2 linked regions of the Caenorhabditis elegans genome follow. The protein of the gene in region 2 interacts with the protein of the main gene of each other region in a biochemical or structural test. Each region holds a gene or a part of one and is shown on either strand. Other genes may lie near its edges. The genes, in order: let-363 and pgl-1.

Evidence for each region.
Region 1: of the proteins of pgl-1 (region 2) and let-363, one has a biochemical effect on the other in vitro, tested with the Caenorhabditis elegans proteins (one study listed by BioGRID).

Annotation. Positions count from the first base shown.
Region 1 is NC_003279.8:5,243,871-5,248,783, forward strand, and holds the start of let-363 (Target of rapamycin homolog), read left to right. Parts: upstream 1-1,872; 5' UTR 1,873-1,910; coding exon 1,911-2,033; intron 2,034-2,088; coding exon 2,089-2,189; intron 2,190-2,242; coding exon 2,243-2,537; intron 2,538-2,581; coding exon 2,582-2,911; intron 2,912-2,960; coding exon 2,961-3,172; intron 3,173-3,216; coding exon 3,217-3,277; intron 3,278-3,327; coding exon 3,328-3,500; intron 3,501-3,639; coding exon 3,640-3,753; intron 3,754-3,799; coding exon 3,800-4,097; intron 4,098-4,704; coding exon 4,705-4,818; intron 4,819-4,867; coding exon 4,868-4,913. Other genes in the region: mrpl-47 (Large ribosomal subunit protein uL29m), read left to right, coding at 523-617, 672-836, 887-992, 1,036-1,157, 1,206-1,422. UniProt on the Caenorhabditis elegans protein: Serine/threonine-protein kinase that regulates the mRNA translation machinery, probably by modulating the activity of translation factors such as eIF-4G and eIF-2. It may have some protein kinase activity instead of lipid kinase activity.
Region 2 is NC_003282.8:6,974,013-6,979,282, forward strand, and holds pgl-1 (Guanyl-specific ribonuclease pgl-1), read right to left. Parts: upstream 3,307-5,270; coding exon 3,199-3,306; intron 3,132-3,198; coding exon 3,000-3,131; intron 2,953-2,999; coding exon 2,806-2,952; intron 2,762-2,805; coding exon 2,403-2,761; intron 2,355-2,402; coding exon 2,014-2,354; intron 1,968-2,013; coding exon 1,825-1,967; intron 1,779-1,824; coding exon 1,607-1,778; intron 1,563-1,606; coding exon 1,039-1,562; intron 995-1,038; coding exon 605-994; downstream 1-604. Other genes in the region: him-3 (HORMA domain-containing protein), read left to right, coding at 3,514-3,715, 3,758-3,971, 4,018-4,190, 4,238-4,524; prkl-1 (LIM zinc-binding domain-containing protein), read right to left, coding at 5,016-5,129, 5,198-5,270. UniProt on the Caenorhabditis elegans protein: Guanyl-specific endoribonuclease which cleaves the phosphodiester bond in single-stranded RNA between the 3'-guanylic residue and the 5'-OH residue of adjacent nucleotide, resulting in the formation of a corresponding 2',3'-cyclic phosphate intermediate.

The sequences.
Region 1 (4,913 bases), on a different chromosome or scaffold from region 2:
AGATTTATTTAGTTTTCGTAATTTCAAAAATTAATATCTGACTTAAATTGAACTTTTTTGAAAATGTTTCTTCGGGGACTTGTTTCAAATTTTAAGCGCTTTCAAAATTTAATAACAAAATTTTTCTAGGTGCCAGAAGCTTCCAGTTTAATCAAAAAAACTGACCTCCAGGCATATAAATGACCGCATTTATTTATTGGGAGATTAACTAAGTTTTCATAATTTCAAAAATTAATATCTGACTTAAAATGAACTTTTTTGTCGAAGAATTTTTTCAAGAAATAATTACTTGAAGTTAATTCAATGTTTTACTGAAAACCCATGTTAAAAGTATTAAAACTTGCTATTGAAATTTTATCTAGAAAAAACTATTTTTTGAATTACCTCTGCTATGGGGGAGGCAATTGTGCGGTGGAGCGCACTTGCCGCCCATTTATTATTTTTTGGCAGCAAGGTTTTCTCCAAAATATTCTATTTTTTAATGTTTTCTTTTGTTTTTATTGAATATTTTGCTCTTTATATATGCAAAATTTTGATTTTACCAATTTTCATTCTTTGAGGTTCTTCAAATCTACAATGTGGCGTAGTTTACCGAGTTTGGTGTCTTCGGCTGTTCGGTTAGTTGATAAATCGAAGTTTGTTGAATTCCAGTTAATTTTTGCTTCTTTTAGATCACAAAATGCCGTCAACACACGATTTTCCAGTACAATGAAACAATTTTTCGATGATGAAGCGAATTTTGGAAAAGCAGAGCTCCGCCCGAAACATCGGCCGGGCAGATCGTGGACAGCAGAAGAACTGAGATTAAAAAGCAATTCAGATTTGCATAAGCTTTGGTAATTTAATGGCAATTCGGTTTTAAATTTATTAAAAATTTAAATTTAAGGTATGTGTGCTTGAAGGAGCGAAATATGCTGATAACGATGAAAAAAGCGCACACTTCACGTGCCCGGAACATGCCAAACCCAGAGAGACTTGATCGTGTTCATGAGGTATATTTTAAAAATTTAATAAATGCAAAATGATATATTTCAGACAATGGATCGTATAGAATCAGTAGTTCACGAGCGAAATGATGCGGTCTTCCGTTTGGAAACTGGAGAATCCGCGGCTCCACGCAAGAGAACAATCACTTCATTCGCTGGATTTACATATCAGTGAGTTCCTGATAAAATTAATTTTTTTAAAATAAAAATATGTTCCAGAAAACAAGCCACAGAACACTTTGCACCACCTCAACTCGGCCAGAAAGAATACGAAACTCCATATCTCGACGACGATGCCTACGTGATGCAGAAGCTTTGGCAGGAAAAAGAATTCATGAAAAATCGAGATAGATTGGATGATGAGAAGAGACGAGCGGCACGAACAGAAGACATGGACAGATTCAAGAGAGGAGCTCCACGAGTTTTCAATCGATAAAAAGTTGTTTCTAGATATTTTTTTTGTTTTCGAGTAGGCTTTTAAAAATGTTGTTTGCTTTGCTTCCTTCCTCAGTTTATTTAGTTTTTCAAAGAATATCCATTGTTCTTTTTTCTTGATATTTTGAAATATGCAACGGGTTTTGTCAGCCCATAGTTATCTGATATTACAAAAGGCTCCGTGTTGTTCTCATATTTTTCATTGAAAATCCCTTGATTTACATAGGAAAAAAAACCTAATTTTTAGCTGAAAAAAATTTAAAAAGTGGTAAAAAATTACCTGAAAGTTGTCTATTATCGAACTATCAAGCTATATTTTTCTGAAAACGGCCAGTTTTGAGCACTTTCTTGATTATTTCAGCTGGAAATAATTTTATTTTCGGAAAAAAACCAGTGATTTTCTATGCTTCTGATCATTCTCATAACTTTTTATTCTTAACGTAATTTTAAGCCCACAATGCACTAAATCGGCAGAAACATCTTTGAAAAATGCTCCAACAACACGGAATTAGTTTTCAAATGAATGCCGATAGACAGAACAAAGCAGCCACAACTTCCAATCGAATAGTCTCCGCTCCAGCTACAAATGAATTTGACGAGCGGCATCGTAAAGTTAGTATTTCTTCTCCTTTAAACAATTTTTAAGGAAAAAAAAATCATATTTCAGCAAGGGATTGATGCTGCAAGAGCTCTTGCTTCACAATATCGGAGCCGAATTACGGAAAATAGAGATGCAAATCAACGACAGGCTGCTCGAGAACTCAGCAGGTAGTTTTTTTTTTAAATAAAAGTCAATAAATTAAATATATTATTTTCCTCAGATATGTTCGAAGTGAGCTGAAAGACGAGCCAAATACTTTTAGTGATGCTTTCCTGAATGCAATCGATGGACGAACAGATATAGCCTCTCAGAGTGCAATTTATAATTGTATGAAGTCGAATTCAAATATCGATCAGAAACGAGCCGGTATCTATCTCATCGTGTGCTTAGCTGAAACTCATTCTGGAAATGTTATTCGATATGCGAATTATCTTCTGAAAATGTTAAATAATGGAAATGGATTAGATGAAGATACAGTCAAGATGGCTTCAAAAGCTCTCGCTTTTCTGATTGCGGTAAGTAATTTAATTTTTTTTAAACCAATTTTAAACATTTGCAGACTTGTAAATCATACGCGGCCGAGCTGGTTGATCGTTGTCTTGATCATTGCCACGAATGGCTTGGTCAAAATGTTCCACATAGTCAGCAACCCAAAAATCAACAGGAAATTGATCAAATTCGTCGACTCGCCGCTTCACACCTCTCTCGTGAGCTCGCACTGGCCACACCGACAGCATTCTTTCTTCGTGTAAACTTATTTTTCAAGTATATCTTCAACGCTGTCAGAGACAAGAATCCAGCTGTAAGAATCGCCGGAATTGATGCATTACACGTGGTTTTGACAATTGTTTCACAGCGTGAAGCAAAGAATAAAACTGAGTGGTTTAAGGTGATCAATTAAAATTTTGATCTTTCGTTAGAATGATTTTATATTCCAGAAATGTTTCGATGAAGCACTGGAAGGTCAACCAAACCCATCGCAAAAGGACGATTTGGATAGATGGCATGCCGTCGCCCTGATTCTCAATGAACTTCTTCGAATTTCTGATCAACGATTCGAACTCATCAGATGTGAATCCTCACAGTTTATTAAACAAAAGTTTTTGAAAGAAGACGAAGAAGAAGGTGTTGAATGGCTTGTCCTAACTAAGTAATCGATTCTTTTTCATCTATTTAAAAACTTGTATTTTTAAGGCAACAAACTATTGTGGAAAGTGTGACTGCTCGAAAGCTGGTTTTGGAACGATTTCCGAAGGTAAAAGCTGAAATTCTTCATTTCCCGAAATTTGTTATGTTTTTTTCCAGATACTCGATTGTGTTCGTCAGATAATACCTCTCGCAAACAAAACTTCATCCACGAAACAGCAAAGCTCGATTTACCTGAATACAGTTCTCATGCAGCTTCTACCAAGAATTTGTGCATTTCCACAATGTGATCGAACTTTTCAAACAATCTCATTCGACACTTCATTTACTATGTACGTAGAATGGAAGAGGACTGATGTTTATGGGCTTTTAGCTTTTATAGACTCGAAATGCGCTAAAAACGAATTTTGTAACGAGACTCAAAAAAAATTATGGTGATTCAAAATTTCCAATAATGTTCAATTTTTTCAGTCTTCAAAGAAATGCGGTCGCTGCTCCAGCAATCGGAATGATGATGCTCTCGAATCCAGATGTACATGCCACACATATCGAGAAAACAATCAGTTTTATCTCTGCTGCTATCAAGTAAATTTGAAATTAGTACACTTTTTTTAATAGTTAAATTTTGTAGAAAAACGACGAATTCTGATGTTCTCGATAATTATTTCACATTCCTGTTCCTATTTGTGGATGCTTATCACGAACAAGTGACGACACAAATCAAGGCAATAATTCCACAATTAATGGATATTACCCTGTCTCGATCGCTGGCAAACGTGCTAAAAATGATTATGATGAGAATTCCGAAACTGCGGCTGAATGTTCAAGATGGTGTTATGGCTTCTGTCTATCAAACACTCACTGGATCTCTAATTCCACCAAAATCCGAACCGATTGGAAGGCCTGCGAGTCCTAAAGCTATTTTGCAGGTTTGTTTCGTAGAGAAATTTTATAATTTTGCTCGAAGTAATTTTTTTGAATCTGAAAAGCACATAACATTTTTTAAATAAAGATCAGAATCCCATCAGATTTAAAAACGCTTACAATTTTATCTTTTTTGAAATAATTTTCCGTCAAAGTTTCGACATTTTTCTATATTCGAACCAAGGGCGTCGTTAAAAATTTGTATGATTTTTCGCTTTTTTCAGATATGTTCGAAAAACAAAAGACAGAGAAGCTATAAATTTATCGAAATTATCTTTTGAAAAATAGAGAAATGACCAGAAATTTTTCGAAATTTTTGATTTTTGTTTCCAGAAATCGTAAATTTAAAAGCCGAAAAATCGAAAAAAAAACCTAAACTTTGCGGGGTTTTCAAATATTTTCATAATCAGCAAAATAAGAAAATAGAAATGGCGACTTTTTAAAATTTAAATTTTTCGAACAGATTTCCTATGATATTTTATCATGTTAGCATTAACAATGGTTTTAAATATATTTCTCATTGGCGATATTTCTGTTGTGCAAAGAAGTAAATTCAAAAAATCTCAAATGAGAGTTTTGGGGTTGTATTTATGCAAAAGATTTATATTTCAGAAAGCAGAAACCGATCCAAAAGAGCTTCAACGAATCGTGCTGGCTGTCGATGTGCTCGGTGAATTCTATTTCTCAAGAGGTGCCTTGCAGAGAATCATGCAATACGTTGCAGATGTACGTTCGAAAGTTTTCTCGATTTTTCTGTAATTTTGTGGTTTTTCAGTACTACTTGACAGCGGACAATGTGGAAATCCGTTTGGCTGCTGTCT
Region 2 (5,270 bases):
AGTTTTTGAACTTATATGAAAATCAAATTTTCTGAATTTTTACATATGATTCGAGCTTTTTCAGGAAAAAACTAGTAAGCTCAAAGTCAGAAAATGCTCTGAAAATTAGTATTGCACTCCCTAATAGTCTTGCATTCCCTATTAGTATTGCAAGCGGGAAGACCATCGAAAAATAGTATTGCAGCCATATTAATAGAAGAAATACGGTATTTGTTATGTTCGAATGCAGATGTCTCATAACGATTTACAACTCTAATATGCGTAAATGTATGATAAGATCAGTTGAAATTGTATAAGAATGCATGCAGTGCCACCTGTTAATTTTATGATCCACCAATCATTCGGCACCGTCGATTCAGACATCACTTTTCTCATCAAGCCGCAGAAAGAGATATACGTGTAATTAATTGAGTTAATTTCTTGCAACAATCTAGTTCAAACATTTACCGGGAACAAGGAAAAACAGGTTGAATAAATAATAAATGACAGTCAAGGTTTTAGGGATTTTACAACAAGATTGTTAGAATAAATAATGTGCGTAAAACGTGTAAGTATACAAGAAGTGTATACTTAAAAAACAAATTAAACATTCAATAGTTGGAGTTTAGAAACCTCCGCGTCCACCACGACCCCCGTAACCACCACGTCCACGATCTCCGCCGTATCCACCTCGTCCTCCGCGGTCTCCCCCGCCGTATCCACCTCTACCTCCACGATCTCCGCCGTATCCACCTCTGCCTCCACGGTCTCCACCGCCATATCCTCCGCGACCACCTCCTCCTCCATAAGCTGAACTGGTGGGAGCAAATTGACCGAATCCTTTTGCAACTTTGGCTTCCCCAAATCCACTGACTTTGTATTGATTAGTCGGGGCAGGAAGAGGCATTGGAGTAGCGTCGCCTGACCCCCATGCAGTTTCAGCACGAGCTTGTGGTTGTGGTGTAGAATCTTTGTCAGCAACTGTGGTTTCCTCTTCATCTATCTGCTGCATGCCCTGAAAGAAATATTTTTATAATTCTGAAACGATGAACGCGATACCGGTGGCAGAGCTACTGATTTCGTTGGAGAATCCCAGCCATCGGTGGAAAAACTTGGCGCTACTTCTGGCGAAGCACTTGAAGAAGTATCTTGATTGGCATCCGAAGCCATCTCGATCTCGTTAACTGTTTGCTGTTGTTGTGCATCGTTAACCTTTTCTGGGACAGGATCGACCGCTTTTACAGTAACACCTTCTCCAATGTTTCTTGATGAGCTTAGCAAAGTCGAAGAATCCACTTCGTCACAAGAAATCTCCTGAAGACTGAGTGAATCCTTTGAATCGACAAGTAACCCGGAAGAATTGGTATCACTGAGACCGTTGAGAACTTGAGCTTTAGTATTTACGCTGTATGTGTTGTGAACCGTCGTCATTTCCTCTTTCGTGTAGGCGGAATCCTGCTGTTGGGAAGTGGATGGTTGCACATTGCTCTTTCTGCCACTTGGTGTATCGGACAAACAACACTTCTCCAGTGATTCAACAATTCGAGTGACATGAGTCTTCGAGTTGATTCCTTGAACAAATTCTGAAATTAAAAAGTTAACAGGAGATAAAAAAAGGAATATTCACTCTTGAAGCTATCGACGAGAAGATTTTTTGAAGTGGAATCCAAGAAACGAAGCTCGCCCAGCGCTTCAGTCTCATTCTCGGATCCGTAAAACTCTGTAAGCCACAGTGCAAACTGTAGAGCTTTATTCACATTATCGATCACCGCATCATTGTTTAGTGGACTCTGAGGAATCTGAAAAACGGTCATGTAAGTAATGTTTATAGAATCATTAACTCACCAGTGGAACGGGCTTATCGAAGCATTGCTCTAGAATTGAGACTTGGAACTTCTTGATAAGTTCCGCAATGGCTCGTCTTTTCCAGGCGCTCTCCAAGTCTTTCGCGACTCCAACAACATCCCAATCCTCAAAAGACTTCTTAGCTGAAATATTTAGATTTTAAAAGTAAACAAAGACGAAAATACTAACATCCTAAAAGAACTTGGATGATGTGATTGCCGAGGAACACCGCACTCTTGTAGACACTTCTTTGCAATCCTGGAAAGACTTCCGCTCTGACACTCGTAGGAATCCCAGAGAGGATTTTCTTGGAAACCTCGCGCTTTCCATCTGCAAGTGAACGAACGATAAGGAAAAAGAGCTGATATCCGAGTTGAGATCTCAAGACAAGTGACTCGTCTCCTTCATTTTTACTCGCTTCCTCGAAAAGTTGAGCGATATGGTTCACAACTTTCCCAACAGACTCTTCGAGTGGATCCATGAGGAGACTAATGAATGGATCGGCAGGTTCAGATTTCGGACCATCCAACCTAAATTGAAAAAAAAAATCGAATTATTTTGAAAAGGACAACAATTACATCAACTGTTTCAACAACGGCTTGCAGCTATCAAATGCGTTGACGACGTTATCACGGATAATGTCGACCTCGTCGCTAGTCTCCTCAGAGATAAGTCCGAGGATTTTAGTTAGGACATAAACATCAAAGTCCAGATCCAGTTGGCTGACAAGTTCCGTGAGCTCAACAAACTTTTCGGCGGCATCATCGATTGCGATTACTTTGAGAAGAGCTTGAAGAATCTTAGCGTCTTCAGTCTTCTTCAGCTTGGCCTTACGGGCGAGCATTCCGAGCTTCTTGTCGTCATCGATGACAGAAACCAGATCATGAGCATGTCCCAATCCTGACAATTTCTCAGCAGCAGCATCAAATTTCGGACGCTAAAACGTTATAATTGATTACAATAAGTTTAATTCACACTTACAAATTTATCTCCGAGAAGAAGACAAACGTCCATGCCAGCAGCAATAACGGCAGCGTTAGCGTCGTTCGGCAAGATCATCTCCAAAATGTCTTCGTCTCCAGGAGCGTCTTTGGAAGCTCCCAACACGAAAGCAGCCAACTTATTGGCCTGAAATTGAATAATAGAAAATCGGTCTTTAAATATTATAGTCCAACCTGAGATGTATTGTTGAACAGTTCTTCGTCATTCTTCGTGATGTAGTGGGCCAAATTTGGGAAAAAGTAGGATCTCAGCCCACCGAAATCCACAATTTCTCGCTTGTTAGCCTCCATGTGAAATGGATGAAACTGAAATAAATATTTAAATTTTTAAAAAATTTTTCGAGATTAGAATTCAAAAAAACGCAAAATTTACCCAAAAAAGTAAGAAAACGGAAAAGAAAATTGGGACGAGATCGAAATTGCAACTTCCGCGTTCGCGTCGAGTTGTTCGTTTCGAGACCCGTAGATCTGAAACTTCCATGCGCCTTTAATAATTTCTAAGTTTCTGAACTATTTCCAGATTTATTTTACCTATTTTCTAGTTTTTTTTTTCAAATCAAAATATGTTTAATCAATGCGGGGTTTTATAATTAAATAATATGTTTAACTTGTTATAGATTTTATAGATATTATTTTTTAAACATTTTAATTTGTTTCACGATGATATTTCAGTAATTGTAGGTTTGCGATGGCGACGAAAGAGCAGATTGTTGAGCACCGCGAGTCTGAAATTCCTATAGCCAGCCAGTGGAAGGCCACGTTTCCCGTTGATCTAGAGATTGAAAAAAATTCTGAAATGTTTGCGCTTCGCTACATAAAATGTGCTTCGGCCTTCATTCTCGATCGCCGTGGCATTTTGGACGAAAAATGCTTCAAAACTCGAACAATAGGTATGGCTTATTTTACAATGTATCACAAATATTTTTATACAGATAAACTGTTGGTCACCGCATTCCAGAGCAGTGTTCCTGCCGCAAAGCGTGTGTCTTCAACATTCGACGGATTGAGAGATGCGATTCAACAAGGCTATTTGCGAGAGTTCGCAATCGTGTTCTACAAGAAGCCAAACGAGGAAGACATTAATGAAGTGTTTGCGTTCAGGTTTGCTTATGGAGATGAAGGAGAGATTTTCGTATCTCTAAATAAGTAAGCTGCTGGTCTTATTCAATTATTCGTTTTCAATTGTTTTCAGCGGAATCGACACGAACGAAAGCAGTCAAGAACTGTTACAGGCGAAATTCGTTGATACCGACAACACGAAACAAATGTTTGCAAGCACAATCAAGAAACTTCACCGGTGTATCAAGAAAATGGAGCCGCTTCCTCAAGGGTCCGACGCGAGTTTCCGTGTTTCGTACACTGAAAGTAGGTTACATTCACAGCTTTAGTCTATTTCTAACTGTTATTTTAAGAAGCTCCAAAAGACTATACACCCGAAGGCTATCTGCTGAGTCCTATGTTCTATACGCTGAATCAGGATATTAGGAAAGCATCTATTGGAATCGTGTGTGGCGGTCATCACAAAATTCAAATGCTTGCTGCTTCACAATACTTGAAGCAAGACTTCGATCTGGATAAAACGACCACACTCAATCCAAATATGTCAATCATGGCAAACCAATCGAAAAGGAAGGGACGAATTTCCAGAGATTCCCCTTACGGTCTCAGTCAGGGCATTACGAAGAAGAATAAGGACTAGTCGAAAAGTTTTCACTCATGTGCAATGTTTCTCTTGTTTTATATTTTTAGCCATTGTTTTTATAATTTCATTGATTGTCGTGCTTTTGTCTTCTCTTGTGTGATATCAATCTATCTTCTTCACGTATAGTTTCATCTGTTTGATTGAGTTATTTTTCTTTCACTGTAAGTCTGGTGTTTCGTAGATTTAGAAAAAAGTAGCGTAATAAATTATTTTGAAATGGACCAAACATTCAAATCCAGTTCAGATAAATTTATTTCATTGAAGCAGTGTTGGAATTCGGACAAATGAGAAGTGAATATTCATTTGAAATAAGTTTTACATTACTTGCACTGTTGGCTGGGTGTTAAAAATAGGTTCAATATTGAATTAATAAAATGGGACAATTCACCGTGCAGAAAAAAACGAAGGAAAAGGCTTAAAATTGAAGAAGAAGTATAAAAGAATCACATGGGCTTTTCAGGAATTCAGTAAATGTTTGGACAAGTATATCAAGATACTGTACATCTGGAACTTTTCTTTTTCTTTGCCATTCGAACACCGCCTCCCGACATCATCATTGGTTCATTTTTCTTTGATTTACGACTGGAAGACTTTGCAGGAACCTGAATTTTTTATGATTGAATGTTTGGAAAATCTCAAATTGATAGTGTGGAATAAATTAAAAACTTACTCTACTCAACGAGGCGGCTGCCATAATATTTGAAATGTAAAGCTGTTCATCATCTGAATCCGACGAAGATGAT